Styela clava: one gene and its partners. The protein of the gene in region 1 binds, or shares a complex with, the protein of each later gene. Links are inferred from orthologs where the notes say so. Each region holds a gene or a part of one and is shown in the gene's direction. Other genes may lie near its edges. The genes, in order: dynein regulatory complex protein 1-like, dynein regulatory complex subunit 5-like and dynein regulatory complex subunit 4-like.

Region 1 (10,700 bases):
TATTGGGAAGTATTTGTTATAACTGATGTAGAAAATGCACAATCAGGGTTCCTCAAACTGGGCCCCCGCTTCATGTTAAAGTCAGAACTAGAAGAGCACGAGGTCACCGAAGGTCTTTGGAAGGATGCCACAAATCATAAACATTTGAAAAACACTGATTTAAATATTAGTTCCTTTCTAAAAGAAATACCAAATGAGCAAAAAAAATGAAAATTGCTCATTGAATCAACTTGAGTCTGATTACTGTATAATTCAAGGCGATTCACATGAATACTTCTTACATTGTCAAGCTGATTAAGCTTGTTATTTCCCACAGAAAGTACATGTAGATTTTTGAGGGAATCCATGTTTTCTAGTCGAGATATTCTGTTGCTGTACAAAGTCAGATCTTCTAACTTGGTCAATTTTGATAAACCTTCTAGCACTTCTATGTTGTTGAAAGACAAATCTGTAATTCATTGTATTTGAAATCAATATACAGTAATTAAAATTATATTTGAATACAAAAATAGGTTTACCAATTTATGATTGAAGCTTCTACTTCATGGTGAATTTAACTTTTTCAACTGTTATGTCAAAAAATTCCTTTCATTGTAAAATTTTTCTGACCTAAAGTCCTCCCCCCCTTCAAGATAATAAATGAATAAATAATAAAAAAGCAACGTAACTTGAGTTACATATGTCATTAAAACAATGATGGCAGGGAACACTAGAAAGAAGGATAGAAATAACATCTTATGATAAAATAAAGAGAGTATCATACCTAGCCATACTAAATTGACCAATTGATCTAATCCTTCAATTTTCTCAATAATATTGTCATCCAATTGTAATTTTGTCAGCTTTGTGAATTGCCAAAGATTATCAATCTTCAATATATCTGTAAATAAGTAAAAATAAAATGATGATACAAATTAAACAGAGCAGATAACTTATCCATTGCATTTATCACAAATGGGCATCAGTAATAAAGTTTTCTAATATTTGACCAAACTATCAAGAGCCATATTATTTAAGCTTTTATGGATTTAGCAAATGAGAAAAATAACTGCAAGATCTATGGAAAGATTGTAAATGAAAACTTGAGAGATAATTTAGACTGAAATTGACAGGTCAGAATATGAGTAGAAGGCTTCTACTTCATAAAATTATATTTACTAACACGTGTCAATCCTAACCCCTACCTGACAACACCATCCAAAAATGACGTCACTACGGCGTCACAGTGACGTAATAGAGCCCTTCAAACTATACGAACTGTCACCCAAGACGCGCAGAAGAGAACCCGAAATCGGACAGCTATTTCCCTCGTTTTTTCGCCGCAGCGATCCTGATAGGAGAGAGATCGCTGACGTTAGTCAGTTCTTCATCGTCGGCACCGATGCCATTTCGGGCGATCGGATGTGTGTTTGGCAAGCTCTATGACGTGATTGTGACGTCGTAGTGACGTAATTTTTGGATAGCGAAGTCAGGTGGGGGTTAGGACTGACTTGTAAAAAAATTGTTATGCTACGCCTAGTAGAAGTACAATGGGTACGAAACTACAGGAGACCCCTTTTTTCGAGTTCGGTAACACAACAGAGTGGAGCATGAAAATAGTTGACTCGTACAAACTTGTTAATTGTTTAATATGCACGACTTCCTAACTTCAAGTTTGAAATTTCATTATAATCACCACAAAATATGAATATTGTCCATTTAGCATAATATGTAAGATGTAATTTTTCCTGTTCCCTTCACTTAATAACTTCTATATGGTTGTGTGTGTGGGTGCGTGTGAGCGTGTGTGAAATATTTCAATTATTTTAGGTGAGTGAACACGTACCACATCTTCTTGGCAAAACCTTCCATCTTATATACATTCTGTACGTTTTAAACCTTATCTAGGGTTTTGTTCGCTCTCCTGATTTCATAATCAGTTTTTATTTATTTATTTTTAGCATTCATTTTATTGTTTTGCTGATTATGGAGTCGAAATAAACTTATACTTATTATACTTATAATATACCTAAAGTAAAAATAAAAACTAGCTAGCTAAGTTTTCAAAAAAAATTGTCTGTCATTGTATTTACAGGTTTATTTACCCTTTTTGTGATATATTTCGCCATAACGTTTTTACCACTTACTTCTAAAATCTAGTCTTAATGACAACACGTCTTTGTAATCAATTCCTTCTTGTTTTGCAATTCGACCAGCTTCTTCCTTCGGGCCTTGCTCTTCTACAGCTTTTCTGAGCATTTCATCGTCGATTACCGCAGGTTCAACGGTGTCATAAAGGCGACTCATTTTTGAATCAAATATATTCAAGGAAGGGAGATATGCAGAGGAAACAGAAAATGGAAAATCACGGCGCTAGCCGCTCACTACGAGCACCAAAAAAATAAGTGTTATTTGTTTAGTCTTTGGCAAGCACTTCGCGCTTCTGCGTTGCTATGGATTCGGGCTGTACTTTGCAAACGAAAGGATCCAAATTGTTGGTATAAATGTATTCACATAGATATAAAATACTTTGGATTGAATTTTTTTATGATATTTAAGCAAAAAAGGGATTCAGTATAAAATATCGTGAACAGATTGCCAATTTTTTCGCACCATTGGTTTTTATAATAACCATAGCAACCAGTCAAACGAAGCACTATCATCCAGGCATGACTAGTTGAAAAGGTTGATCGCGATTAGGAATGTAAGCATAGAATAGGTGTTCTATTTTCGAAACAAATTCTGTTTAGTGGTCTGTAGCATCGTGTTTTTGTTGAATTTAATTGCATTCGAACTATAGATAGGTTATTTTATGACTAGATAGCAGGAAATATGACTAGCAGGAAGACTTACCGGTACCGTAACACGGGTCGTCAGGTAAAAGTGAATGCGTCGAAATCGAACGCCTATTTTATTGTAGTCGAGACAAATACTGAAATATGCAGCTATGTAAGCTTTTTTTAAACAATAGCGGGTATAGGATTTTCATTTGATACTGACCGTCAGAGAATTCTCACAAATGTCGCTACTGATATATACAAAATGTGTTATTGTAGTGATTTTCTATAATTCTAAAAGTAGTGAGGTCTGAATGTCTTCCAGTGAGTCATGCCTAAATAGATATAATAGCAGTATCTTGGTCATTTAAAGACATCTTACTTAATTTAATGAGTTTTTGAGTAGTAGAGTAGATGTAGGGTGGTGTAGCCAGTCTGCGGACGATTTCATTCAAACCCCTATAAAACAAAAACCAATATTTCTAACCTGTTAATTTTTTCACCGTAGGTGCATTGGCATTCATTCTACACGCTGAACTTCGAATTAACTTTCTACGACCAGGGGTTAAAGCTATACAAACCACCAAAGTACGACACTCTGAAGACGTATTTGCGACCGAACGACCAGTGTGCGACCACGGATTTCAATCCTTGAACATCGTTTCTGCTGCGTCGAGACTAGATAATACGCAGCCATGCGTGAAAAAATGGGCTTCTAATTGCATTTCTGACCGTCATATATTTTAAGAATACGATTATTTCGAACAAAATTTTTCAAATTATAAACAAACACCGCATCACAGCAATCAAACAGACAAAAACACGGTGGTCGCAAATTAGTTGACAAAGATATTATTGACGTATTGGAAATGCGCACCCCCCTACTCCCCCTCCTTTGAAGGTAGAGACGCGAAACTTTAAAGATGGTTAAAAGAAACACAACTCTACCCACCTTCCAAGTTTCATCTTTTTATCTCTTATATTTGTATGGATTTTCAACCTTTTTTGAAGGAACAATGGGTAGTTGGCGACATGGTAAAATGGTCCGTTTTTTTTCTTCGGTCAGGTTTTCGGTCGTAACTTTTTCATTTATGGCCGCATTTTAGTGTAATTTCGTAGAGCTACGAGGGATAAGTGGACGATAACGCGTGAGAAATATCGGCGCGGTTCGTTAATTTTTTCGGCATTAATTTAATCGATGAAGTTGATGGTCGCAGATAGGTCATGGCCGCAAAGTGGGTAAGCCACCCTAAATGTAAGAATTTAAGAAAACTGAAGGAGACATGTTATTTGATGTTGTGACAACTAGACTTACTTCATCATGACATTGTCTCATTGCCCAATAATTTATTTAATAAAATTGAGCCATATTTTGGAGAATTGCTTCTTACCGATTTGAATTGGATTAAATTGAGTCACTTAGAAATTCAGAAACTCTTGATTGTGATGCACTGAGTGTTTGAAATGGCAGTGACTTTTTGTATAAACAAGGCAAACTAAAATATTCAGGTAACTGAATAAACTTCGGATTAATTTACTGGGTTTAACCCGGTATAAAAGTATCAAATCAATTCTTATAGCTATAGACATTCTCTGAATGACAGAGTAATTCTGATTCTGTGTTTTCTAATTATCACTAAGTAATATATCTTATTTTATGTCTATTTATAGTGTTAAATAGTTTTTGTGATTCATATCATACCACAAATATGTTACATGTTGACGATGGGGACGAAGAAAGTGGGCCTTCGGTTGAATCTGTAAATCCAGAAGAAAGAATCCTTGCTAGGAGGATCCGAATCCAACATAGAATCGAGCAGCTCAAAAGAGAAGCTCTGGGTGACGATGCTCTCATGAAAAAAGAAGTCAAAGAAGAACAAGGAAAGGGAAAAGAACAGATTGAAGAAAGTCGAAAACGCCTGAAAAAACTCCTTGGAGATGGTAATGAACTTGTAACAAATGTACGAGTTGCCGGTGATGCTCGTGAGTCTGGTCATCGAATTGTTGAAGAAGAAGCTAAACGAGCAAGGGTTGAAAAACTTGAAGCAGAAGCAAAGGCATCTGCTGAAAAATTCGATGAAATCAGTAAACGATGGTCAGCAGCTCGCATGAAGGAGATCCCTCAGGATTTACATGATATGTTGAAAGAGCAAACAACAGGTTGTGACGCTGTGATCGATGAAAAAAATAAATTGATAAATATTTTACAACAAGAGTTAAAACAAAAAGATGATGAATATGTCAAAGATTTGAAGAAGCAATCAGAAGATGTTGATCTCATTATTGAAAGAATGGAAGAACAAATTAAAAATCTAACAAAATCACACAGAGAAGAGCTGAGACAAATTGAAGATGCTTACACAGATGGTCGCAGTGATATGAACAAAGCTGATCGACGGAAATGGGATTCAATGATGCAGCAGAGACGAGATAAAGAAGAAGATCACATGAAACTGAGAGAAAAAAGAGTTGAGGAACATGAGCGCCAATTGGATCAACTTCGCACCCAGGATGCTGAAGAATATAACATGGTGAAGATTAAATTAGAAACTGATGTACAAATTCTGGAGCAACAATTGCAACAAATGAAAGCTACATATCAGTTAAATCAAGAAAAATTAGAATACAATTTTCAAGTCTTAAAAAAACGTGATGAGGAAAATACCATCACTAAGTCACAGCAGAAAAGAAAAATTACCAGACTTCAAGATGTCTTGAATAACCTTAGAATCAAGCTAGGAAAGCAGGAACGTTCATACAAAGATGAGAATCAATCACTCGTTGATGACTACAAAAGAATAGCAGAGCAATACAAGGAATTACATAAAAAGATGAAGCACTTCTCAGCAACTGATAACAAAAAATTTCATGATATCTGGTGTATGAATGAAGAAGAAGTACGAAAACTTGTTGATAAAGTTTTGAATACAGACTGCATCATACATCAGCAACAGCTTGGCTTGCCGTGGTCTGCTCCTGATACCGCATTCATGGATTCCCGTGGTCCATTGCTGGCAGCTACAGAAGGAAAGGAAAAATCTGCTTTGATGATGGCCAAAGAAGTTTTGGCATCAGTGGCAAAACCAAAACAGGATGATAGTTTGCCTTTGACATTTGATGATGAAAAGTCTCATTCAAGTACAAAAGTTTCTTTGAGTGCTGTTAAGAAAGTCTTGGAACTATTATGTGATGAGGCTGGATTTCTTGTCGAGGAAAAGTTGAACAAGCTGTTACGTCCCCTTCAAAATGAAGAAAGGTCATTGATCAAGCTGGATGCAATATTTAAAGCTTTAAATATCGAATCAGAGGATGACATCCATAAATTGGCAGCCTTTTTTGCTCAACACAAAGAAAAACTCAGTGACGAAGTGAGTGAATCATCTCTTGATCATGAAGTGTCATCTACTATGGACGGGAAAGAAAATATGCATCCAAATGAAGTTTTAAAGGTTTTGAAACAATTTGTTCAAGAACATATCAAACCTACAGAAAGAAGAAAATCGAAAGGTACAAACAAACTGACTGCACCAGGACGTGATGGCTCGCAAGACGAACAATTTTGGAAGTCAATGGCAAACATCATTCCAGAGCACAAACTGAAGATGTGGGATGCACTGACACAAGCGTTTGACAAGTATCACAAAGTACTCACAGAGAGAGATGTTAAAATAAAAGAAACAGACAGCCTTAGGCAACAGAATGCAGAACTGAGAATGCTACTCCACCAATACATCACTTCCGAAGTCAACAGAGAGCTCGAGATTCCACCAACTCGTGTCCTTCAACTTGAATACAGCTAAAAAACATGTGCTTCTCCTAATATTTTGCTCTTCTTTAACAATATTATTTTGGTTTTGTAGTCACTGTCGATTGTTTTTTCTATATATATATTGTTATCATCAAAACAATTATAAAAATTACCTTCAACAATGCGATGTTCAAATGCAATTCTTTATACCAATGATTTAGTAGTGAATCTTTACTTTAGTAGCTTTATTAACTATTTACCTAACAAAGGAACTACGCCTGAAACACAACCGGGCATAGATTCATTGTGAGGTGAAACTACACCGTAGACGTGTTTCAGCGCATTAGTCATTATATTTTAGTGGTATGTTAGTTGTTGGCTGATACCGATATTAAACGCAGTGGGTACAGCTTGTCCTCAATAAATTTTGAATGTAACACAAAGAATAACTCACGCAGGAGTGAGAGTTTTGAGGGCCGCCTGTTTTTATAATTATTGTTTGTATTCCTTCTGCTATGCTCATCTTATCTACCAAGATTTCATGTTATATTTTGATGTGTAAATTGAGAAAACCACATATGTAATTTATTTTAAAAGTTTGCGTTAGGGAGCGCGAAATACTTAATTAAGAAACATACGTATGGTAGGAAGTAATGTACTGATACAATAGAGATTTGTAAATAATTAGCTTTGAATGTCTTTCTAGACAACTTTTTGTATTTCAAGATTTGATTTTTCAGATAACCTCAGTTCATCGAAGCTGTCGTTCAAACTGTTTCTGATCTAGCAAGCTAATGTTTTGCCAGATAATCATAACTAAAACCAAGGTATTATTATCCGTGCACCTTAATAGTTTTTAATTTTCAACGTTTCGATCGGTATTCAATTGAGTGTTCTTTCGGTGCATTTTGCTTTGTTGGTGACAAAAAATCGTGTCGGTTAGAATGAGTGAATGCCAAAAAGAATGCTTCGGCATGCTGGGTAGGCATCGTCAAGTCATGACACCCACTCTTTGTGATTGCTTCAAATATTGCAGTGAGCGTTTTATCCGTGCATTTTTCTTTGCTGGTGACAAAAAATCGCTGCAAGCATCGGTTAGAATGAATGAATGTCAAAAAACATACTTCGGCATGATGATCGGACATCGGCAAGTCATGACACCCACTCTTTGTGATTGCTGCAAAAATTCCAGGAGAAAGAATTACCAATTGGCTCGACGGTGTGGCGCATCGTGCTAAGCGTTAGGAATACGCTCGCCACCGCATCTTTGGTTAACCTTCGTGGTATCGCAGGTTCGAATCCCATGCGGGGATGATCATGTGCGAGAGGATTGCTGGACTCCTCGCCGCCGTAGGGTGGTTCACGTAACCGCTGGTCGGTTACGGCTTCCCCCACCATCAAGTCCATGCTTCCGAAAAAACAAATACCTGGCTAACTAATCCCATACCCGACCTGGACTGGTAACCGGGCGAGAGGCCGTGGTTCGCCATATCATTAAGCCGTCTTATCGGATTTCCTCTCCTTCGGGATAAATATGTAAATCCTATCCTAATAATAATTATCTGATTTCATTTACCTGTCATATTGATAAACATATTTTAAAAAAATACAGATGTGGATTGTGGACCAAGGTCCACGAAGTTTGCCATGAACTTTAAGTTAATTTTTTTGTTCAACCAGCGAACGTCGAACTGAAAAAGCGCTCTTGAAACAATGTAACACACCACAACTTTCTGAAGACGATAAGTCAACCACCCCAGTCACATCAGATTATTGATGTTTACTTGACGTCAAATATACCTCACATTCCCATGCAGCAAAATTTCAATAGTTGGATAGATACCTGGGTTTACGAAATTCAATACAGAAATATGAAGTTTAGGCTCTAAACTCAATCAGATGACTTTTCCAGATTCATTTTTACTACTATTTGGTGTTAAATGTATTCCAAATAACTAGCGTCTTTTTATTGAGATCTCTAGCCGGAGTCTAAAAGGAGTATTTTTCCGCAATTAAAGTAAATATTTCTCTCTATCCCGGCAGCTCACCCGGTACATCTTCGAGTTAAATTGTGAAACTAACTAATATTATCCGATCGCTTCAAACGGCCAGTAATTGAAAATTTCAAGCAATAGAATTTCCAATCGGTCTGCAAGGGGGCTTTCCAAAATTTTGATGTTACCTTCGACGATGGAAAAGTAGCGACTTTCAGTTTTACACTACAACTGTCGCAAATGATAAAATGGGATAGAATCTTCTGCCGTTGAAATCAACGCCGAGTGGGACCCTGCCAAATATTTATGTCAACTTTGCAATTAAAAAGAGGCCGGCCTTACGACCAATTGAAAAAGGCTCAGGCAAGGATTTGAACGGTTTCAGATATTATGATATGATATTATCAGACCTATGAGAAAGGTCGATGGTCGTGGATAGCAAAATATTTATAAATTCCTCAAGACGAGAAAGAGTGACAATTAGAGATCTACCGATACCACCTTTGTCGCCGATACTGACAAAAACGCCGTTAGCGATGCCGATACAACGATATTACAAAAAGGCCAATATTCCGATGCCGATACTATGCATTTATTACCGCAAATGCGCAGGGCAAACGCGTTAAAACAAGTCTTTGAGCATTATTCATACTACGCATTATTCCAGATTGAAACAGAGATATATCACATCATAAGAAATTGATGTTTGGGATTCAGATGCGTTAATTGATTTAGATGCATTGTGCAGGTATTGTCAATTCTAATTAAATATTAATATCGCGACCTTCGAATATTGTTATTCGTGTTTATCGAATATCGCCCACACATCCTAGCGCCGCCGTCCAGATTTTAATTGAAAGCACTTTACAAATATTTTGTTTTGTGTTTTATCGTAATTGTGCAAATAATTACAACCGACATGAAAGAATTACAATCAGCGCCGACTGGAAGTACCTACAAGCTATAACACGTCGAGGATGTTGCCAACAAGTGCGGGCGCTGTTAATAAGGACCTCGATTCTACAGTATGATTTAAAAATAGACGCCTAGTTGAAATGTCAAAATAGAAAATTTGGCAGCGAAAATAGTCAAATTAGTTGAGTGTTAGGACTGATAGGAATTTAAAAACAGGTCAGAATTTTATTCCCGTCTCGACCCACGGAGGTGGGGACGTGCATGGCTCTTAGTTCACGATTCCTTCATGCAAAAAATAAATATTTAAACATCAGTATTCCAACCTAGTTTTGAAAAATTTTGGATCTTTTCAAAAAGATAAATATATATATCGGTCTTAATTTAGCCGATACCGATACCGAAAAATAGGGCCGATACCGATACATCGGTATATACATCTGTAGTGACAATACGACTTAATTATACGGCAAACCACGACCTCCCTTCCTGTTACCTGTCAATGTCGAGTTTGGAAATAGTTTGACAGTTGTAAGATTAAGGTGCATTGACATGATGGTGGAGGAAGCGCTAACCTGCCAGTGGTGACACAAGAGCTACCAACCGTCCCGGAGTGGCCGGGACAGTCCCGGAATTTACGTCTAGCGTCCGTTTTTCATTAATAAAAACGATTACATCTGTATGGTTCATTCAAATAGGAGTGAGTTGAAATTCGTGGATACGACATGTTTCGTCAGCCGTGACCTCCTGATGACATGACACTAAAACAGGGTGGTCCAAGGTGTTCGGCTCCGCGGGCTACAAAATTAATTTTGCATTGTTCGCGGGCCACAATAAAGCCAAGAATAGGTAAACAGTGCAATACAAAACAAACACTTTCACTGTGCAAACACATAGTTATCAGGCATAGCCATTCTAGGCTAATAGAAGCCGCATTCGATTTTTAGTTTTCTCTGATGCCTATATTGTTAGCATATATATATGTATTCCCGACCAAAAAGTTAGAAAACCAGATAACAATTTAGACTAACAAGCACATTATTTTAACTTCGCTAGTTGCCTCAGCTAGCCATAACACTATTTAATTCAGTGACATTAGTGACGACAATATGTCAAAAGATTTTTCTGATTAATTTTATGACGAAACCACACGAAATGCGATTTTTCGATTACTCTTCGAATGTGACGCGGGCCACAGATAATTAAGCGGCGGGCCACATGTGGCCCGCGGGCCTGGGTTTGGACCACTCTGCACTAAAATAAGCTGAACAATTGCAAAATGGACGATAA
Region 2 (10,759 bases), on another chromosome or scaffold:
GTTTCATCTTGCATGAATAATGTAAGCGGGGTTCGTGAAATTTGAACATTTTGAGGTAGTGTTGATGGTTCTTGCTCTGGTGATTCCCCAACACTGTGATATAATTCGCGTTTTGTTATTACATTATCGGTGAAACAACAATTTCGAATTCCTGGGACATCAATATTTTAAATTACCTATATATGCCAAATAGGATTGAAATTTTTATACTTTTATTGTTGACTTGAACAATGTTCATTTCATGCATGCTTTTTATCATATTAAATATGGCACCGACTCAAAATGCTTTCACATACATTTTCGAAGTTTTAAACATTTTTGATCACTTCCTACTGTGTGTCACAGTTTTCAAATCTCTATCACTTCATAGGAAAAACTTAATATTGTGATTGGGCAGTAATGAAATAATATTGGGCTTGTTAATTCTTTAGTCTTTGTTAATCCTGTCATAGTATCACTTTTAAAGATTCTGATAAATGCAATATACAGTTTTGGTATCTTTCAAATTTGGCTCGATTTTGATCGTCTATTCTGTTTTGTTTGATTAATAATTTGATCTATTGAAAAACGATGGCCATGATTTACCTTCGAGCTTTTTGATCGGAATCCTTCAAACACCTTGGTGAATGCTAAGCCATCAGACTTGCACTAAGAATGCTTCACACTAATGTGTTTTGAATCACTTCTTTCTAATTGTTTGCTGTTAACATTTTTGCATGGTTTGATTCAGCAACAAATCCATTTTGATCAACTTGTATGAAGAATATGTGATGCTTGCGAACTCTTGAGACAACAGGTACAACGAACATGAAGTCTTGAATATGTTATTGTAGCATAGTTTCTTGCTCAGTAATAGTTTCAAGAAAAAAACAAACAGCTGTGCTGTCTGTTTTTATGGAAGAATAAAGAAATGTATCTATGTTCAGTACTCAGAAAAAAATGTATGGTGATTGGTGAAAATGTATTACAATCTGAATCACTCATAAAATTGCCTTTCATTGCATGCTTCTTTGATGACAATATCGTTCTATATTGAATATTTTGCTATGCCAATCCCTTGGGAGTGTATTGGGCTGATGGTGTTTTGAAACCACATTGTTCCGCTTTTTCTGGGTTTGTCATGATCTTGCTCAGTAATAGTTTCAAGAAAAAAAAAAACAGCTGTGCTGTCTGTTTATATGGAAGAATAAAGAAATGTGACTATGTTCAGTACTGAGAAAAAAAAAGTATGGTGATTGGTGAAAATATATTACAATCTAAATCACTCGTAAAATCGCTTGCCTTTCATTGCACGCTTCTTTGATGACAATATCATTCTATATTGAATATTTTGCTATGCCAATCCTTTGGGAGTGTATTGGGCTGATGACGACTTGAAACCACATTGTTCCGCTTTTTCTTATCGATCCAATAGCAGTCTAACTAGTGGTGATATCTCAGAACTAACAAAATTGATAATTATTCACCCATTCTCTCTATTGATGTTATTATGTTGATTTATAACAATTGTTATTCTGACATCAACGAAAGCAGTGTTCTCCCAAACTTTTTCGTCATGACCCATTTTTTTTTTTGCTCTTCATGAACTAAAATAAAAATGAAGTAGATTTTAATGCAGAAAAATTAAAAATATAAAATAAACTGAGAATACTATTATTGTGCTTGCATATTTTCGAACAGAAGACCGAAATTAGTAGTGTCAAAAAAGATTAATTCGACTCCCAGCGTGCTTTTTCACAACCCATGGGAGATCGAGACCCCCAGTTTGGAGAGTACTAGGCATGTGTGTTGGTATGTTTCCTGATTGCTTTTATACATGCTTTTAGCACTGGCTCATTTTGAATGCACATATTGATATTCACACCTATTGCCAATGCTATCTACTTTCAATCTTATATTAATGATAATATTGGCATTGCAGAACCGAATGGAGAAATATAATTTCAATCAGATCATTAAATTTCATTATCTCTCGTTACGACATCATTGTTCAAATTTTGGATCACCTTGTTATCAGAAGAAACTACACAAAATACAACCATATGGACCTTCAATAATGGCTTGTTACTGGGATGAAAATATGTTCATAGCTGAGAGCTGACGCTTTTATAAAGCCTGAATATTTGGCAAACTTAAATTTTCTTTGGATTTTTTGATGAATGTACTTTTTTGTGCTTCATGCAGATTTATTTGGTTTAAATAGTGTATAAAATAGCAGTGTAATTTGTCTTCACTTAAGACAAAAGCCATCTTCCATATTTCAATCCAATGATGGCAACTGTCCAAGCAAATGCACGTGAACATGTTCTTATTTTTTTATTGAGAATGTTGATCCGGTAGACAAAAATGTAATTATTTTATTTCTTTCTCCATTTTTTTCATTAACTTCAAGTCTAATATCTCTAAATGTATATTATACCTTTATTTTAGCATTTACTTATTATATACTATATTACTGTCGTACTGTTCATAACCAAGTTTGGTGTCTTAACATTAAAATTAAATCGATTCTATCCTATGATCTGTTTATAATATTCAATGACTTTCAGCTTTTATCAAGAACTAAAAAAAATTCAAACTTTGGTGCTGCTTTGTATCTAATTTTCCGATCTCCCATTGGCATATTTTGTATGAAAGCAGTTTTTAAAAAACTTTACAACTCAAAATCTCTTGTCTTGCTTTATTAAAATGATTTTCAGACATTTAAATACTTTCTTCAAAAGTCCGAATCTTTTTCATTCATACTTTTCATGCAGTATATTTTTCTTTTGAGGGGATGATACTGAAACAGTTGTATGAAACAAATTAGTAGCAAAACTGTCACTCTAAACGGTGTCATAAAAATAGAATTAACTAGATTTAAATTGCTAAAAATAACTTTGTAGATAGAGCATGATTTTATCAAATATTTTTATTTTCCCGTTTTTATTGTATACTGCTCAAAAAATGAAACAATTAGTTGTTTATTTTTTGGTAATTTTCTTCCATGACGGCATTAATCTGGGAGATTGAAGATTTGGAAAATCAAAGAAAAACATTCTCGAACAAATTAATATTATTGTATTTGTTCAAGTTTCACCTAATATAAATTCTGAATCATTAACTGGAGTTCATCATATTCAACGATTATATCATCAGTCAAAAAGAATGTTTTTATTCTGAAGATTTTGCTTGTGATATTTTTGGGCAGCTTTCAGCCCATTTTTGGATGATACTACCTTGGTAGGAAGTCAATCATTTGTCATGCATTTTTTAAATTATTTATCGCTCTAATTGCAATTTATTCCACCAGGAACGATTCAAGTTTAATAAAAATATTCTGGATTTACTTTCTCTTGACAGTCCGCGGAAGTCAAAAGACTGCAAATTTTTTCACAACCACATATTTTTATGTGCTGTTCACTTTTGTTTGCCACCTGTCATATTTAAGTTATATGCATGGTGTATAATTAACTCGTGTCTTTTAAAATGTCTCCAGCTCAAGTTGAATTGTCAAATGAATGGTGAACCAGGAATGCCTTTTGTACTTGTTGCTGCTTAAAATGTTTCGTGACTGCTGATGCATGTTATGCTTAGTAAAATAAAGCCGTCCCACGTTTCTGACTCGAATTTTGTGTTTGGGGTATTGTAGTTTGGAAAGGATGCTACTCTGTAAAGTTTTCATCTTTAATTAAATTTGATATTTTAAAAGTCTGCTAGCTTACCCAAGCTAGTGGCCTCAAATCCGTTATAAAACTAGGTATGCAAGCCATTAATTCAATTCGTTTATTACTCCAGACCGCTGTGGTCCATATAAAAACAACACAACAAATAAACATAAGCAAACAAAAATAACGCAATAAATACATAAAATACCTGATATGACAATCAGATTCACAGTAAGTCTCAAAAAAGAGTTATAATATAGCAATTCAAGAGACCAAAAGTGAGGTATAGAATCTAAGGTAGCCCGTGACAATCTGTAAAATGTTTTGTCTAATGAGAATATTTTATCAATGTACAGTGCAAAAATCAATATCAAAAAATGAGAAAATTTGAAATAATATTTATGTACAATTCTAAAAACAGTCGGCTGTAATAGAACTGCCGCTGAAAGTTTGTGGTCGTTAACCCACGGAAAGCCAGAAAAAGATGTGGCATCAAATTCTGCCTGATAATAGATCCGCCTTTCGTCATATTTATATAGTTTTATCATTTGAAATGTCATTAAATTTTGTTTACTTGCATATTATTGATAAAAAATGAATTTTCAAATCGGTGTTTCGGTATGGAAAATAGATTTCGATGGAATTCGCTGTAACAAGCAGATACGTTGCCATGGTTACTAGCTCGCGTTGTTTAGCAGTTGTGGTTTTTGTCTCCGCCAGTGCTTTTTGGAAAGGTGATGGCTTTGTTTCTAAAAGCGTAAAACCTGTTCCTGTAGTTATTATATACGTTTCGTTTTTATACTCGTTTGAGAAACGGTTACCGGAACTGATAATCAACATGGTCGTTAAAGACAGAAGATCCAATGTTAAAAAAGATTCTTTGCAACCTTCAGCAGCACCCACGATTCCCAATGATACAAAGGTTTTAAGAAGAATAATTGCAGAAGATCCTGATTGGTCATTAGCAACAGTACCTCTTTTGAAAGATTTAGTGATAAACCATATTGTTGACAATTTTGAAAGTAAGGACTTGTCTAACTGTTTAAATACACTGTTCTGCTGATTGGTAAAAAGCATGTCATATCGTGAGACCACTGTCACACTGCTGGCTCAGATAAGTTTGGGCTATATATCAGATTATTATTTACATGGAAAATAATGTACTCTAATAAAAATAACCTCCATTTAATGTAATTCCTATTAAACATATTCAAAACTGAATTAAAATGATAATAACAACAGCTTTAGCGTATTTATGTATGTTACATTTTTCCAGAAAATCCAATACTGAAAGAACTTCATCCAAAAGATAAAAACAAAGTTCTTGATAAAATTGCACCAAAAATAGATATCATTGTAACAGCTCACTTGGTTGAAGATGAATCCTATTGGAAAAGATGTTGTAAAGCTAAGTAAGTTGCGCCAAAAAAGTTTAAATAATAGATAAATAGAACTCATACCCGTATCAGGTTAGACAAATATTTGAAAATTCCAAGTATTTCGTTTCTCTGGATCTTTTACATGTGAAGTTAGTGTCTTGTTATAACCTGCTCAGCGATTGACAGACCACACTAAATCCTGTGCGGATAGTGATAATGAAGTGAGAGAGTATTGCACACATCCCACCATCATAAGGTGGTTTTACATCCGGTGGCCAGTTACACCTTCCTTCCCCAGTGAAACAACTATCAGGTTAACTATTCCCATACTTGGCATGAAATGGTAATTGGTTGAGAGTCCAATGCCATGCAATTAGGTGCCATTAACTTTCCCCAAGATAGATATGAGAATCCTCTCCTGATTTGATCAAAGTTCAAACATAATTTTGTAGATACCACATATGTGACGTCACCAATTATGGTGGAAGCTGGAAAAGGATGTTTTTTGAAAGATATATGCAAGATGTTGTGGAAAATTTTGTACCAGAGAAAACTAGCGATGATGTAGTTACAAACGCCATTCCCCTATGCTCGAAATATGTCAAAAGATTAGACATCAAACAACTTCTTCCTCCTGTAAAAGAACCAACGAAACCCGGAGTTCAAGAGGAAGAAGCATCAGATATGGGAAGTGATGCAGGAACGGAAAGTCCTGAAATGGACCACTTTGAATTTGGAGAACTTCTGGAGAAACTTCCGAATTTGGAAGAATTCAAAGTAACTTATGGCGTGCGAGATTGTGGAATGAACTTTGAATGGAATCTTTTTCAATTCACACAACGAGATTGTCTTCTAGTTGCAAAAGCACTGCGATCCTGCACATGGTTGAAAAAAATATGTGTTCATAAAAGCAAGGTAGATGACGCAAAAGTGCGAGTTTTAGTTAGCAATCTTCTCGATCATCCTTGCCTCACTAATCTGGATCTTTCACATAATTGCATCGGTGATAAGGGTGCAAGAGGAATCGCAAAACTTATTAACAACAGGTGAATTGCTAATTTGTATATTATCGAGCTTACTTTAATTAGAGTAATATCATTGAAAATTGTTTTAAATATGTTGCAGATGCCCAAACCTCACTTCAATTACCCTTTGTGATAACATCATAAGACAAGAAGGAGCAAAAGCAATTGCATATTCCATCACAAAAAATTCAAAATTGAAGGCTCTCAACCTGAGATTGAACAGGTTAGTGTCAATCACACACTTGCACATAATTTTTTTTTTTTTAATTTCTTATATGGACATATTGCGTGGTACCATCATACACATATTGTTTCCATTGCCACGGTTACGATTATACCTAACCAGATTTAGGTTAAAAAATCAATTCTAAAAGTATTCATTTCATGCATTATAATTGCCATCAAATAGGTTTTGTTTGTCCGCCACTCATTGGATATAGTAAATTCTTCAATAGTTTCTAATCTCCAATTTGAGACACATAATAACAATTTGAGAATGCAAATGTTTTGTTCATCTGTTTGATGAAGAGTAACTAATTTTTTTACAAATTTAGGCTCATTCAGTGTCAATTTAATAATATATATCGGTTATTCCGTTTTGGAAATCCCAGGTTCAATTCATAATGAAAAACCATTCACATTAACAGAATGGGTGATGTTGGTGGTCAGGCCATTGCAAAAGCACTTTTGAACAACAACACATTAGAAGATATCAACTTATCATGTAACGACTTGACTGAACCATCAGCTGCTGTTTTCTCTCAAGTTCTCATATCTAACACTGCATTAACAACAATAAGTCTTTCAGGAAACAGAATTGGGCCAGTAAGTTGAAGTTGTAATGAAACTTATTCCAGCAGATGGGGATTTACTCTAATTGATGTGAGTCTCAACCATTCCACATTCTCTCTGCCAGGCAAAGCTAACATTTTTGACTTTGCCACCAATTACACACATCAGCTTTGCTAAATTTAAAATGGCAGAGATTTTATCGATGCCATATATTGTTTTGGCCCTCACAAATGTAACTTGGACAATTACTGATTAAAAAACAACAACCCTGGTCAAAATATATTTAGAACTGACTTCGTAACAAAATTGAAATTTTAAGGGGACTTTATGGACACCATGTATATTCTAAAATTGAGTCATGTTTAACAGAATCTATCGGTCAGGAATGCAGTTAAGATATTAGGTTTATATTGGCTCAAAATGATGATTTTGCCAAATAAAACAATTTAAATGAATATTCAATTCATTTTGGACATCATTGTCCCTATGTTTCTGAAATATCTTGATGCACGTTTGCTTGTCAAATTATAGGATGGTGGCAAGCAACTTCAAGAAGGCATGGAAGAGAACAGCACAATCACAGAGTTGGATTTGCGATTGACAGAATCTGGTCAGGAAAGTGAGTATTGTATCCAACAAGTTCTCAAAGAGAACCAAGAAAAAGCAAGATTAAAGGAATTAGAGAGAATTCCTTCAGCATCTACAGTCGCCACATAAAGAAACTAGTTTTGTGTTTATTTTATTGTGTTTACATCTGTCTAATATTATTGTACAATTGAATAAATTTTTAACCTGTTATGGTTTGTTAACAATTCACTGTAAGATTAAGGTAGATTTTTTTGCAAGTTCAAATTTTATTTTGCATGTTCAACTGCTAAAATTAGAAGAATTAAAACATAAATGAAATCATGGAACATAGTATCATGCTCAATAACAAACACAGCTACTGGCTTTAGTTTGACAATTCATTCAAACCTGATTTTCTCGCCCTGTTTTATCCTTGCTTGCATTGATCCATTATAAAAATCTTGAGCTGCTAATGGCTTACCATAAACTAATTTTGTTATTCCCACAAATGTATCCTTACATCTTACATAAATTGTTTTGGATTTCTTGTCAAAATGAACATCTCCCGGTATAGTTTTTTCAACCAAGCCTTGAGGAATTTCTTCCATGTCTAGTCTTGTCATTTTTTGTAATTTAACCCCTTTTTCTTGGTAATTCGTCCGTAATACAAAGTCTTTGTTAAATCCAAATGCCTTATACTTCCTATAAATTTCTTCTGCAGTTTGTGCCTCCCACGAAATATTGGAATGTCCAGTAGTTATTTTAGGTGCATATGAGATCTCGCCAGTTTGCTCTTTGGCATTTTCCAAATACAATTCAATATTTCCAAGACATTTGAGTAAGCATTTTGATGCAATATCTTCCAGAGCAATTCCAAGATCTTCTGAAGTCCACTCTTGTTTCACTTTTATTACTTCACTCTGTGCTAATATGCGCCCATGGTCAAATTTGCCAGACTTAATCTCCATGACAGTGATTCCAGCATTTCTATCACCATTCATTATAGTGTGTGCTAATGGTGAAGCACCTCTCCATTTTGGTAATATACTTCCATGTACATTTATCATTCCAAATTTGTAAGACTTGATGACTTTCTTAGGTAATAATTTCCCGAATGATACAACTACACCAATATCGTACTTGCAGTCTCTCGGAAACTCTGGATATGTAAATATAGGGATTTTTTCTTTGTCCGCAAATATTTTAACAGGTAATTTGCTCTGCTTCTCAGGTAAGCAGACAACCCCTAGTTTATCCACAGCTTTACCAGATTCAGCTGACAGTTTTGAGTTATTGTGAAGTGATTTTAGACATGCCTTAGAAAACACATCACTGCCAAAAAACAGCACTGATAATCTTCTGTATCTAATGGGAAATAAATTATGCCATTGTACATTGCTATGATTAAGAATTACTCTTGTTGTCTTTCTCAGCATCTTCTATTTCCCGCTTTTCCATTAGATAAGATGTCAGTTTCTGTTGTTCTTCTAATTCAAGTCTATTTTGTTCTCGTCTTTTTATTCCCTCTTCTTGTCGCAGTTTGTCTTCCAACAAACCTTCTTGCAGTCTCTGAAGTACAATGAAGGATTTATGGAAGGGCTGAATGTGAACTAATTTTTCCAAACGCCAAACCCGCATAATGTTGCTTGGAATTGACAGTGAACCATTTGACCAGGCTTTTTAAAACTCTGTCATTAGGAGTAATGGATAGGCCATCTGGGCAACACAAGGCAAAACAAGTGAACTCTCTCTCTCGATTAGAATATACTCCGCGAACAAAAGATTGGTGCTACTAGTACTAGCACCACAGGGAATGAAGCCTTTTTAAAAAGATTCATTGGATTAACATGTTTGGGATAACTCTTACCAGATAATTTGATAACTTTATCATGCTATTTCATAATCTACCAAAATTAAAAAATTCTGTAAAATAAATAAGTAGTGATACACAGCAGCACAGCTATTTTAACATTGGGACAGGATCAGTTACGTATTAATATATCCGACGAGTGACAGAGTCAAAATTGTACCAAAGTTAACCAGCCCTTATTACATTGATTTCTCTTTCTTATTTCATCACCTCATCGGGGTTCCCAACACTTTTTACACCGCAGAATGAATCTTAGTTTTAACGGACCCCCCTCCTATGTCGTATCAATTTATGTGCCAAACCATCGAGGAAGGATAAGGTTTCACAAACTAACGTTCAATACTGGCAGCAATTCGATAAGATCATGATCTATTTGTATATGCTCCAGAGTTCAGAGAAATAACTCTTTCAAATCATTTTATATTGATGTAGAATATTCAATATTTGGGGATGAATTATTATTAAATATCTTTATCATAAACTGGAAATATTATCCTAAATAGGGAGTATCATACTATCGATTTTATTTTAATAAATCTGAATGTAATAAAATAATTCTAAAATAAATGCCAACAGGCAGGGTGGAAAATTTGGAAAATGTCAGTTAAAACAAGGAGACATAAAAGTCCTACATAGGTAATCCAATCTTGTGACAGGGAATATAAGTGGAAAAATGGACGAAATTCTCTTGATCAAGTTTTAGGCTGGGGAGAATCGTAATAATAGATAAATATAAGTGAAAAAGCATGATGGCTTTATTTTTGTTCAAGTACACAATGTTTCAAACAAAATAGACTGAGGTTATTTTCTCATTTGTGTGAGTATGGGTGAATGTGTACAAGCCTTGTATAAAGCACTTGTTAAAAACCTTTTTCTAGGTTTTGACTATTTTCCGATCTTTCCGTCGCCCTTGTCTGTTCTTGTTTTTCGTGTTCTGTATTTTAGACCAGAGTTCGAAATAAAATTGTATCGCATTGTACGACAAAACAGTGAAATAAATGGCTGCAGAATACACGGGCGTGATAGCAAAATAAGAAACACACAAACAGGTAAAGGGATAAACAAAATACAAACCTCTTTGTTTCTTTTTTGGTCGTAGTGAACGTATCCAATAACTGATGAAGTGAAGGTGATAGAAGCGGCAAGAGTTGATTTGGCAGCGAACGACATGACGATTTACGGCATGATCCGTAGCAGTCAGTGATAATCAGTAAATGAAACGATGCGTAAAGGTATAGGAAAAAAAGAAAAAGGCTCACACGTTTAAGTTTGTCTTTTCAGTATGTATTTTGTCCCGATCAAGCGCGAATTCTTTTGTTGTTGTTCAAACGGAAAATATATTTCCTTTACAGCGATCATCGACGTCTTGCCGTTGCAGGACCAATCTTAGCAGCTATATATACCGTATATACGGTACTTAAGCTTACAATAAAATAACCCCGGTTTAGCCGGGACAGTACCGATTTTGACCATCTGTCC
Region 3 (10,759 bases), about 13 Mb from region 1:
CAAACATGGCCATGGTGTCTGAAATCCTCTGAGTCGATCATGTTTGCTGATGACACTAACTTGATTCTTCATGGGGAAAACCTTGAAGATCTATTCACAGTTGCAAACCAAGAACTAACCAACATTCATAGCTGGATGTTAGTTAATAAATTATCTCTGAATGCTAACAAAACTAAATTTGTATTATTCCATCCAAGCAAGCATAAAAGTGTGAGTTGTTCAAAAAAACTACTGCTCAATGGCAATGAAATTGAAAGAGTGAAAGAAATAAAATTTCTAGGAGTTATCTTTGATGAAAATCTGTCATGGAAATCACAAATAATGCATGTTATTGCTAAAACAAAAAGAAACCTAGCAGTTTCTGCCAAAGTATCCCAGTGTGTTGACCAATCAGCTCTACTAGCAATGTTTCAATCATTACTACTTAGCCATATTCGATATTGTTGTTCAGTCTGGCTTCATGGTAATAAAACACTTGTCTCAAAACTGCAGAGTATTTGTAATAATTTTTTAAGAATAGTTTTTGGTAAAAGAAAACGTGAAAGTGTAGACTCTTACTTCAAATCACTAAATATACTTAAGGTTGAAGATATGATGAAATTTGAAATATTATCTCTAGCTCACGACTTCATAATAATGCGCTGCCCAATTGCTTTAATGACATACTTGTCAAAAATACCTCCAACCGAAGAAGTAGTTCTGATTTATTCGTACCTTTCATGAGTAAATCCGTGAGTCAGCATTCCTTGTCTTTTACTGGACCCAAACTTTGGAATTCTCTTCCCTTAAATTTGAAGACGTTAAAGTCCAAAAAATCTTTTCAAAAACAAGTCAAGTCTCATTTAGTTTCCAAATATTAAATATTAAAAATTACTACTGGTGGTATTCGATGACAAAAACTTGGGACACTCCACACTTGCACATTATTGTTTTAATGAAAATGTTGAACAGCTATAATAATACTGTGCCACGACTATAATAATATCTTGCCACGACTTGGCCAGAACTAGTCCAGCACCAAAGAAATGGTATTGTGACATGCATGAGTATATATATATTTTTTTAAATATACAGGTAGCTAACGTACTCAGATGATATTTTCTTTAAATAACTGCACGCATTCTATCACTTCACGCTCGTGTTTTTATCTTTTTCTAGCTGTGATGTCCCTATCATACACGCTTGGTCTTATGTTTGAGTGGTGGTATAAGGGTTGTAGATAGTACAATATTGTTCCTGCAAGGTTACTAATTATTGCAACTAGGCGAGCAGTAGAGCTATGTTGGATTCTCCCCTTCAGATTTTAATTTGCTGTGGGTCATTGTAATTGGATGTGGTTTTTATATCATTTATGTATGCATGCGTTTTATGTTAAGGCATGGTGTTTGAGTTGACTTGTTGGCCAAGGTATAGATAGTAAAATTTTGTGTGTTTTTTGCATGGTGTGATAAATTTTTCTCTGTCCCAAGCAGAATGTCATCATAGATCATCTATCCATCGCTATATAATGACAATACATCCCATTTAATTAAACAATTATTTTTTGCCTGTAATAAATAGTTCAGAGCGTTCCCCTTCACCCAATCATTGAAACATCTACTCGCAGTTTTATTTTTTGTTTTTCAGGTTACTTCAAAGTGATTAAATGAAGTAAAACACATAAGGAAAAAAACAAAAAAGACTCCCGATATCCTGTGAAATAACAACCTCATTCCCATATCCTTGTCTGAAATCAATACCCAAGAATGAAAAACCTCACTTACACCCTTTGTAACCAATTTATTTCCACATCCTACTTTACTTAATTATAGTAATTTTACTGTTACCGGTAACTTAATTACTTATTACAATCTGGACTATAATTTGGCAATAATAGGCTCTAATTTGGGGAATGAAATGGTCTCGCCCACCTCTTCATGCACCCAATTCTGGCAACTTTGGTTGGGCAACTTGGCATTTGACTCCAACTATAATCAGCTTGGCAATATGTTTTCAATAGAATCTTCCTTTTATATACCTAATTAACGATTAGAAGATCGATCAATTTGGCAATGGCAACCATTACAAAAATATCAATATGGTGTGGCAGATAATTTTCTTTTCTAGTATTTATTTATTTATTTTTTTGCTTACTGTATAGTATACCCTAAATTTATCGCGTTTCATTCTTACTTAAATAACTTCTCAGTGGTTGTGTGTGTGTGTGGCTGGTGGGTGCATGTGAGCGTGTGTGAAATAACTTGATAATTTTAGGTGAGTAAACACGTACCACTTCCTCTTGGCAAAACCTTTCATCTTATATTTTGTACGTTATAAACCTTATCTAAGGTTTTGTTTGCTCCCCTGATTTCATAATCAGATTTTATTTATTTGTTTTATCTGTCAAATGTATTGTTATGCTGATTATGGAGTCGAAATAAACTTATACTTATACTTATATACTTATACATCTTAAATCAAATAACGATATTACGATCGAGAGAATGTCGGGCGTTTTTTTAATTCTCTCCTTATTTATATAAAATATTTCGATTCACCTACCTCGTCGCGTCGATGGTGTAACGGTTAGCATTGTTGCCTTCCAAGCAATAGTTCCGGGTTCGACTCCCGGTCGACGCACTTTTCTCTATCTGTCCCATTTTTGAATAAGTTTTAAGCATTCGGTTACCGAAGCAAAAATGCTTTTATTATTGAACAAGATATTGAACTCGAACTAATTGACCTATGGGTGGCAGTTGGAGGTATTTGACGCACACAAACTTTTGTAAAGTCTTGTTTTTCTGACGTTATTTTTACGTGTATATTTCAATTTTGTTTTCAATTCCGTTAGATGATAGATAATGATTTATTTTCCGAATATATCAAAAAATGTAAAATTACAATAAATGGAAAAGAACAATTATAGAATATAATCGGGAGGGGACGGGCGAGACTGCAAGGTCAACTATGGCCACCGACCCCTAAAAAAAGAGAAATTCCTATTATGACAAGACATTCGGGAGTCATGAGAAAACAAAGGCTGTGTATAGATTATTACCTCGATTAATCACAATGATTATTTATTTGATGGGTTACACGTAACATTTCCAAAGATATAATAATATAAGAAGGGGGTACGGCGTTACGTTATACACTTTTGTGTTGTGTTTGCATTGATTCTTGCATGATAAAAATAATTTATCTGAATCTTTCGCATGTAGTTATTTTTCAACTTGCATTTCATATCATATTTGCTTTTTTAGTCAATATATTGCATTTTATGAGAAATTGACCGTCGTGAGATATTTTAATTTGTTTTTATTTATGTTAGTTAACTTATAAATTTATTGAATATCGTAACGAGGGTTCGTCTTTTAGTGATATTTTTGTTTTCAGACAATATTTAACAATTATTTTATATTATGAGGGAAGAAATGATCCCAAATTGATTTTATGAAAAAGCGAGCACGCCAGGATTCGAACCTGGAATCTTCTGATCCGTAGTCAGACGCGTTATCCATTGCGCCACGCGCCCGCACGGCTCCGAGTCACAGAAATTGTATATACATTTTACGGCTCGCTGACCTTTTTTTTGAACTTGTTTGTTCACATTAGTTTTTTTGTATTAGATTGCACTCTTATATTACGTAAAACATTTTTTATAACATGTATTACATGTCTATTTAATTCCAATCCTTGTAATTTTATTTTTTAAAACTCATTTTCGTTCATTGTTGAGAGATATCATGCGTGAAATATCACTCACGTAAATACGAAAATTACCATAGTAACACCGAGAGAAAATTTGATTTCCGTGCTTGTTCGCCTTGCTTTACTTTTTTGGTGTTGCCTTCCAAGTTTTCCCGTCTGGTTGCATTTCGAACGGCAAATCTTCATAATGGTAAGTGTCATATAAGTTTTAGTGTTATATAACTTTATTTCAAAATCTTGGTTATGAATAACCGACTATTTTCAACTCTGGAGCTTAGGAAGCCATTGATTTGGCGGCTCTAGCACCGGGACAATGGGGGAGTTTTTTAATTATCCCTGTTTTAATCTTATCATTTCTTAGAAATTCTACTTTTTTTGTCTAAATGACTAGGGTTGGAATTTGTTTAAAATAATAAATCTGTAAATACTCCCCAGATAAAAATACTACTTGATGCCTCTTTTTTCGGGATCTTCGGCGTGGCGGTGTGGCTCATCGTGCTAATCGTTAGGAATACGCTCGCCACCGCACCTCTAATTACTCTGCGAATCCCAGGCGGGGGGAGGGCTATGTGCGAGAGGATTGCTGGACTCTCGCCGCTGTAGGGTGGTTCACGTAACCGCTGGTCTGTTACGACTTCCTCCACCATCAAGTCCATGCTTCCGAAAACAAATAACTAACTAATCCCATACCCGACATGGAATGGTAATCGGACGAGAGGCCGTGGTTTGCCATATGGTTAAGCTGTATTATCGGCTTTCCTCTCCCCCGGGATAAATATGTAAATCCTATCCTATCTTATTCTGTCTCATTGAAGTCAAAGATGAAGCCACATTCTTGATTTTTCATAGTGTGATGGTCCAACCCAAAATTTCTGGAGTAAGGAGTTTGAAATGAAAAGTAAATTAAATTACTAGAATTAAAAATCAAGCAATCTCTACCCATAAAATCATTGAATAAAGCCTAGTATTAAATTTATGTACTGTAGTTGGCTATTTTCTAATTGTTTCATGCTTTTGCAGCCTCCCAAAAAAGGGAAGAAGGGAAAAAAGGGCAAAAAATCTGCGAAAAAGCCCAAAACCCCGACCGTCGTAGATGGAATGTCAACTGAAGAAATGTCAAAGGAGCAGGTATGTTCTATAAAGTAATGTTTAAACCAGTTTCAAATCTAAATTTTGAAACATAGTTGTATCGCTATGAACTAGGGGTGTGCAAACTTTAAAGAGGAGTGCCAGATATTATTAATACCCCAGTATAACCGGGGGTCGCACCTTTATTTAACATAGGCTTTCTAGTAGTTTTGGTAATTGATCTTATGACATGTGTTGTTTGCTTCTCATGAGCTAGCTGTTAGGGTATTATAACCTCATAGGCATAGATCAGCCGTTCCCAAAAGGTGCAGCGAGTGGCTAAATTCGCCGCGAAAATTAACGGAATTGTGTTAAACATTACTAAAATATGTTTGCATTTTTTAAATGTTCTATAAATGTCCTATTGTTTCTTATTTTAAATGCTGTGTGTATCAATCAATGAATTCATTTTACCCTTCTATGTCGCTTACTTTCTGTTACGTATTTGCCTCAAATGTCACGTAACACTTCAACAACAAGACGTGGCTGACCAGTCATCAGAATGTGCGAAATTACGATGGCGATATCAAAATAAATGGTTCCTTAATTTCCAAGCCCATTGGCTTCTTAAACTTGGGTGGGTGCATTTGCAAAGCTTTGTTTTGAGTGACTGTATGAGACATGAATCACTTAAAACTAATCGGTTAGGCAGTAATTGAAAGTTATACACAAGCAGATGCTATATACTAATCCATGATACTGAACTACCCGTATATATTTGCTGAATGTTCTTTCCCATTGTTTAAATTTTATACTTCTCAATAGTTTTTTTATTTTTTATTTATTAATAAAAACATCACTTTTTATCCACACGATCCACTTCTCAATAGTTGGAGGAGCACATTGGTCGACTTCGTGAAGAATTGGAAAGAGAGAGAGAGGAAAGGAATTATTTTCAACTTGAGAGAGATAAGGTTTGTTTTGATTGTTATTGCGCAATAATTACTAATTATGAGTCAATAACAATGGATTTCCTTGTGTTAAATCTTTATTTTAAAAGAAAATGTGAAAAATTAAAATTAAAAGTGAAATCACTTAGATGTAAATGAGACTCAATTTGGACCAAATTCATGGGCGACCTCTGAAATACAAAAGATATTGTGATAGATATCATAAAATTTTCTTGACTTCATTTTTTAGACGATTGAATTTTTTGATAAATGGTGACTCGTGACTCCACAACACTGGTAATTAATGTTGCAAATTTTTCTTCTTAAAAACAAAGTATATAATAAAGTAAGGGTTATAATAATTAATCAAATTTTTCAAAAATTTTCTTTCAGGTCAACACATTCTGGGAAATCACAAAGCGACAATTGGAAGAGAAGAAAGCTGAATTGAGAAATAAAGATCGAGAAATGGAAGATTCAGAAGAAAGACATCAAATTGAAATTAAAGTTTGTCTCATTTGTATATACTGGGATATAATTCTATATTCATCATTATAAAGGACGACCTATCTATATGGTGAACCAGTCCTTCATCTATTTGTATGTCTGCCTGTTGTATTTTTTGCCGTAATATGCCATGCAAAATTGAGCCACTTGTGAAAATAGTCGAATTGAGAGTAAATGTAAAGTTTGTTTTTAACCTACATAATCAGCATAACAGACAAAAAATAGTTACAAAAAAATATACAAACTGGTTACAAAATCAGAAGAGCAAACAAAACCTTAGGCAAGGTGAAAACAGGTTTAAAACGAAATTCAAATAAAAAGATGTTGTCATAAAGTTATAATATTAAGTCCTACACACATATGACCACAGAGATATAAGGAATTTAGAGATGATGGGCTCTGCATATTTTATTGAAATCATAAAACGGTTGAACATTAATAAAATAAGTTTTAGGGATTCCTGATATGGCAAATATTATTGTCATAAAAGTCTATAAAATTCTAAATTAGTTTTTATTCATGCATTTGTCATTGTCGTGTGGGCTTTGCTCCAAATTTTAATACCAGACTAATCCATCTATGTTGTCTTATTTGATCTTGTGTATCCCAGGTATACAAGCAAAAAGTCAAACATCTTCTGTACGAGCATCAGAACAACATTTCAGAATTGAAAGCAGAGAGTTCGGTGGCTTTGAAGTTATCGCAGGAAGATCACAGGTTACAGGAGACAGACCTCAGAAAAGATAAAAGGTCATTGAAGGTCAATTTGAAAGAACAGGAATTATCTCATGAGGAATCTGTGAAGAATCTTGTGAAGGTATGAGACTAACTTTTCATTATTTTGTTCAATGAAAACTATTCATTTTACATGGTAATTTTAAATATATTTTGATTGTGGACTTTTCTCAGATTCATTACAAGCTCAATTTTAATTACTTATTGACAAATTTGAATATATGAAAGGTAAATTACCTAGAAATACCTAACACAAGTAATAATACCGCACTAGCAAAGGACAGTAATTTGGTGGGGGGTTGGCAATATTATTCCCTGTGTAGGTACAGATCTAAGCTATATTGATTTTGCCATCAAAAATAGGTCTTTTGTCAAATAGCTGTAAATTTTGAGTTGCTTTTTAAAAACATTGCTGTGCAACATTTTTTACCCAACATTTTTCACTTCCCTATGCATCATTATTTTTATACTATTTTCATGATATCAGTTATGTTTTTGACCTTTGATGTGTAACGATATGTCAATTAATAGGAGTTTGCAATGTGTTGCAACTGTAGGATTGTGGGTACTAGGTACCTGGGTAGTCTGTTTTAATTTAATTTTCTAAGCCGATCTCCTCTAGTATTGTTATGAATGTTATATATTTTCATAGTATCCAAATATCTCAATTTCTTTTCCCGTCCTCAACCTAGAAACAAGACGAACACATCACTCAGTTGAGAGAAGATTTCGAAAGACAAGCAAGAGGTATGCGGTGTCAACTTTTGGCTTGATACTGTGTTTCCCCGAAAATAAGACCTAACCCGGTCTTTTTTAAATGGAAACATGTTATTTATAAGTAAATTGACACCAGTTTTCCAATTTTGTATACCGAATTTCTCGTTTTGTAGCCCGGGCCCAGTTTGAGAACCATGGTGTTACGTAATCAATGCTATCTGTTCTGTAGGCCTACTTGGACGCCCAAGGTGTTAGTGTTATCTACCGGCGCTTAAAATTCAACAGCGTTGTGACAAAAGCGCTTCTTATTTCCTATTGTTCTCTACCACTGAAAAAAACATCACCCAAAAATAAGCCCTAGTGTCAATTTTCGAAAGAAAATCGAAATATGACTTATTTTTAGGAAACATGGTAGTTGCCGCATTGTACCATTAAATTAGAAACACACAAACCATAATTTTACATTGTGACAATACACAGGTGAAAAAGCTTTTTTTTCCGTAATTATAAGTAAATAGTGCTGGAAAAATAGCTATTCAATTGAAACAATGGTCTTCTTTCTTTACAAATTCAGAAATTGAATCAAAATATGAGCGCAAGATGCGTGTACTTCGGGACGAACTTGAACTTCGACGAAAGACAGAAATTCATGAAATTGAAGAGCGAAAGAATGGCCAGATAAATGCACTCATGCGAAACCACGAGAAAGCATTCTCCGATATCAAAAATTATTACAACGACATCACACTCAACAATCTGGCTCTCATCAATTCATTAAAGGTAAGAAGCTTTGGTTATGATTCCTAGAAATGTCAATTCAAGCGATTTAACCCCAAAATGCAAGACTTGAAACTGCTTTTAGAAAATGAGGAGAACGGATTTTGAAACTCCTGAAATTTTTATTAAAATACTTCTGTGTATATTGAGGGATAACGAATCATAATTATAGTCGAATACATTCAAAATTTGGATACTCCAGTATTGTGTGTGTACCAGCTTAGGATTAGGCCATAATTTTATTTCGATTTATCATATTTTAGTTTTATTACGAGTTCGGGACTATCTGTGTTAGCCAAGTGAATACACCTATTGCTAATCATTGCCTGATGTTGGTCATCCGACCTACCACCGGTTGCCATTATTGAGAACCCGAATTAATGTTTGAAACCCTTTGGTTGAAAACTTGAGAATTTTGGTATTAACGTTAATATCATTGAAAACTTCACAAATTATGTTTGGAGACTTGAAATCGTTTGAATTTTGAAGCACGTTTGAAAACTTTTATGTCGCGTCTTTTGATAGCCCGGAATCTATATCGACGAGACACAATGAAAACGTATCGAACGCGCCACTCTCAGCCCCTTTGTCCACAAACAAGACACGTGCATAAATCACTTCTTTATATTCTTGGCAAAGAACAGCACGATGCACTGCATACAGTGGCAAAATATACGACAAACGTACGTTTACAACGTAACACCCTGCCCATAAGCTTCAGTCCCTTTACACAACTCGATGTGAAGTAGGTGAACAAAATTAATTACCTCCATACTGGTACACACACCTCTGGAGCGCTCGAAATTGTATAATAAATCCCTCAAATATCTAATTTTCCTGTTTCCAATTCCAGGAGCAAATTGAAGAAATGAAAAAGAAAGAAGAAAGACTGGAGAAAGAAATGGCAGAAATACAACTCCAGAACAAACGTTTGACTGAGCCTTTACAAAAAGCTCGTGAAGAAGTCGATGATCTGAGAAAACAACTTGCTAATTATAAGAAGGATAAAGCTTCATTGGCAGTAAGTATTAGGAGAGGCTCTGGGTCAATATGACTCATACTCAGCTAACTGCCTGTAAGAATCAGCTCAGTGATTGACAGGACTCTAATAACTCATGAAATGCCTCAACAATGTTCTAGGGAACAAGTCATCGGCTTGTTTTGAGCAGGACATGAGCGGCACGGACACAATATGGCGCATCATGCTAAGCATTAGGAATACCACTGTACCTCTGATTACTTTGCGTGGGTTCGCAGGTTCTAATATTCCCATGTGGGGATAATTATATATGAGAGGATAGCTGGGCCTATCGCCTCTGCAGGGTGGTTCAGATAACTTCTGGTCGGTTACGGTTTCTTCCACCATCAAGTTCATTCATCTGAAAAAAAATAACTAGACAACTAATCCAATACCCGACAGGGACTGGTCACCGAACTCGACGCTGTGGTTCGCCATATGATTTATTCTCTTTCCTCAGGATAAATATCTAAATGTCCATTGCTTGCATGCGGATCCACCTAGAAACATATATAAGTATAGTATAATTAGTTGTTCCTAAAAATATTAAATTGGCAGTAAGTTATCGCTTTTTGCTGATTTATGATTGTCGTCTGATGATTGGCATATCTTGCTAAGTGATTGGCATATCTTGCTAAGTTTCCTATAAGCTTCAATCTTTTATGAATTCTGTATAATATTCTTCATTCGGTCCATCAAATTGTTTATTTTTTACAGAGTGCTAAAGCCAGACTCCGTTTGATGGAGAAAGAAATGAAATCTCTACAATGGGAACATGAAGTTCTGGAGCAAAGATTTGAGAAGGTAGAATTTTATTGCAGCCACAACCACAAGGAGGCGCTATGGGGCTGTCTATCAGTTGCAAACTTATTGTATGTCAAAGGTTGCTGTGGTGATTTAGCGTGTACCGATATATGCTTAGACGCTTCGATTCCGACTAAGTATCTCTTTGTTATTGCTATTGGTGTAATGCTTCAATTATTAACTTTACAATGAAATGTGTTATCCATTAAAGATCTTCCAGCATTAATTTTCGAAAAAAAAAACTACCCATGTCACTTGTGGATATTACATGAACCATAACATTGTAGAAGGCAAAAAGCCAATGTTTTCAGTCATCCAACTTGTATAATGTTTTCAGTCATTCAACTTGTATGTCCCATTCGTTTGTTAATTTCCTGAATAATAATGACTGTGTTATTGATGCCTATATATCCTGTCTACCATCAGCTACTCTGCCATTACAGAAAGCTTAAGAAGCTGACCAATATTTTTCACAAATAATCACTCCCATCAC

Evidence for each region.
Region 2: dynein regulatory complex protein 1-like (region 1) and dynein regulatory complex subunit 5-like share a complex: the UniProt entries of both Homo sapiens proteins name them as parts of the nexin-dynein regulatory complex. The link is inferred for Styela clava from reciprocal best matches to the Homo sapiens genes DRC1 and DRC5.
Region 3: dynein regulatory complex protein 1-like (region 1) and dynein regulatory complex subunit 4-like share a complex: the UniProt entries of both Homo sapiens proteins name them as parts of the nexin-dynein regulatory complex. The link is inferred for Styela clava from reciprocal best matches to the Homo sapiens genes DRC1 and DRC4.

The regions. Positions count from the first base shown.
Region 1 is NC_135262.1:17,139,764-17,150,463, forward strand, and holds dynein regulatory complex protein 1-like, read left to right. Parts: upstream 1-4,396; 5' UTR 4,397-4,465; coding exon 4,466-6,556; 3' UTR 6,557-6,691; downstream 6,692-10,700. Other genes in the region: dynein regulatory complex subunit 3-like, read right to left, coding at 282-448, 764-880, 2,127-2,286. UniProt on the Homo sapiens protein: Component of the nexin-dynein regulatory complex (N-DRC) a key regulator of ciliary/flagellar motility which maintains the alignment and integrity of the distal axoneme and regulates microtubule sliding in motile axonemes.
Region 2 is NC_135255.1:14,431,656-14,442,414, forward strand, and holds dynein regulatory complex subunit 5-like, read left to right. Parts: upstream 1-4,180; 5' UTR 4,181-4,284; coding exon 4,285-4,669; intron 4,670-4,923; coding exon 4,924-5,059; intron 5,060-5,478; coding exon 5,479-6,072; intron 6,073-6,151; coding exon 6,152-6,274; intron 6,275-6,698; coding exon 6,699-6,876; intron 6,877-7,374; coding exon 7,375-7,560; 3' UTR 7,561-7,639; downstream 7,640-10,759. Other genes in the region: EH domain-containing protein 3-like, read left to right, coding at 1,922-1,941; methionyl-tRNA formyltransferase, mitochondrial-like, read right to left, coding at 7,809-8,846. UniProt on the Homo sapiens protein: Component of the nexin-dynein regulatory complex (N-DRC) a key regulator of ciliary/flagellar motility which maintains the alignment and integrity of the distal axoneme and regulates microtubule sliding in motile axonemes.
Region 3 is NC_135262.1:4,089,487-4,100,245, reverse strand, and holds the start of dynein regulatory complex subunit 4-like, read left to right. Parts: upstream 1-3,723; 5' UTR 3,724-3,877; coding exon 3,878-3,880; intron 3,881-4,710; coding exon 4,711-4,818; intron 4,819-5,648; coding exon 5,649-5,732; intron 5,733-6,101; coding exon 6,102-6,215; intron 6,216-6,825; coding exon 6,826-7,032; intron 7,033-7,642; coding exon 7,643-7,697; intron 7,698-8,241; coding exon 8,242-8,447; intron 8,448-9,297; coding exon 9,298-9,465; intron 9,466-10,179; coding exon 10,180-10,266; intron 10,267-10,759. UniProt on the Homo sapiens protein: Component of the nexin-dynein regulatory complex (N-DRC), a key regulator of ciliary/flagellar motility which maintains the alignment and integrity of the distal axoneme and regulates microtubule sliding in motile axonemes.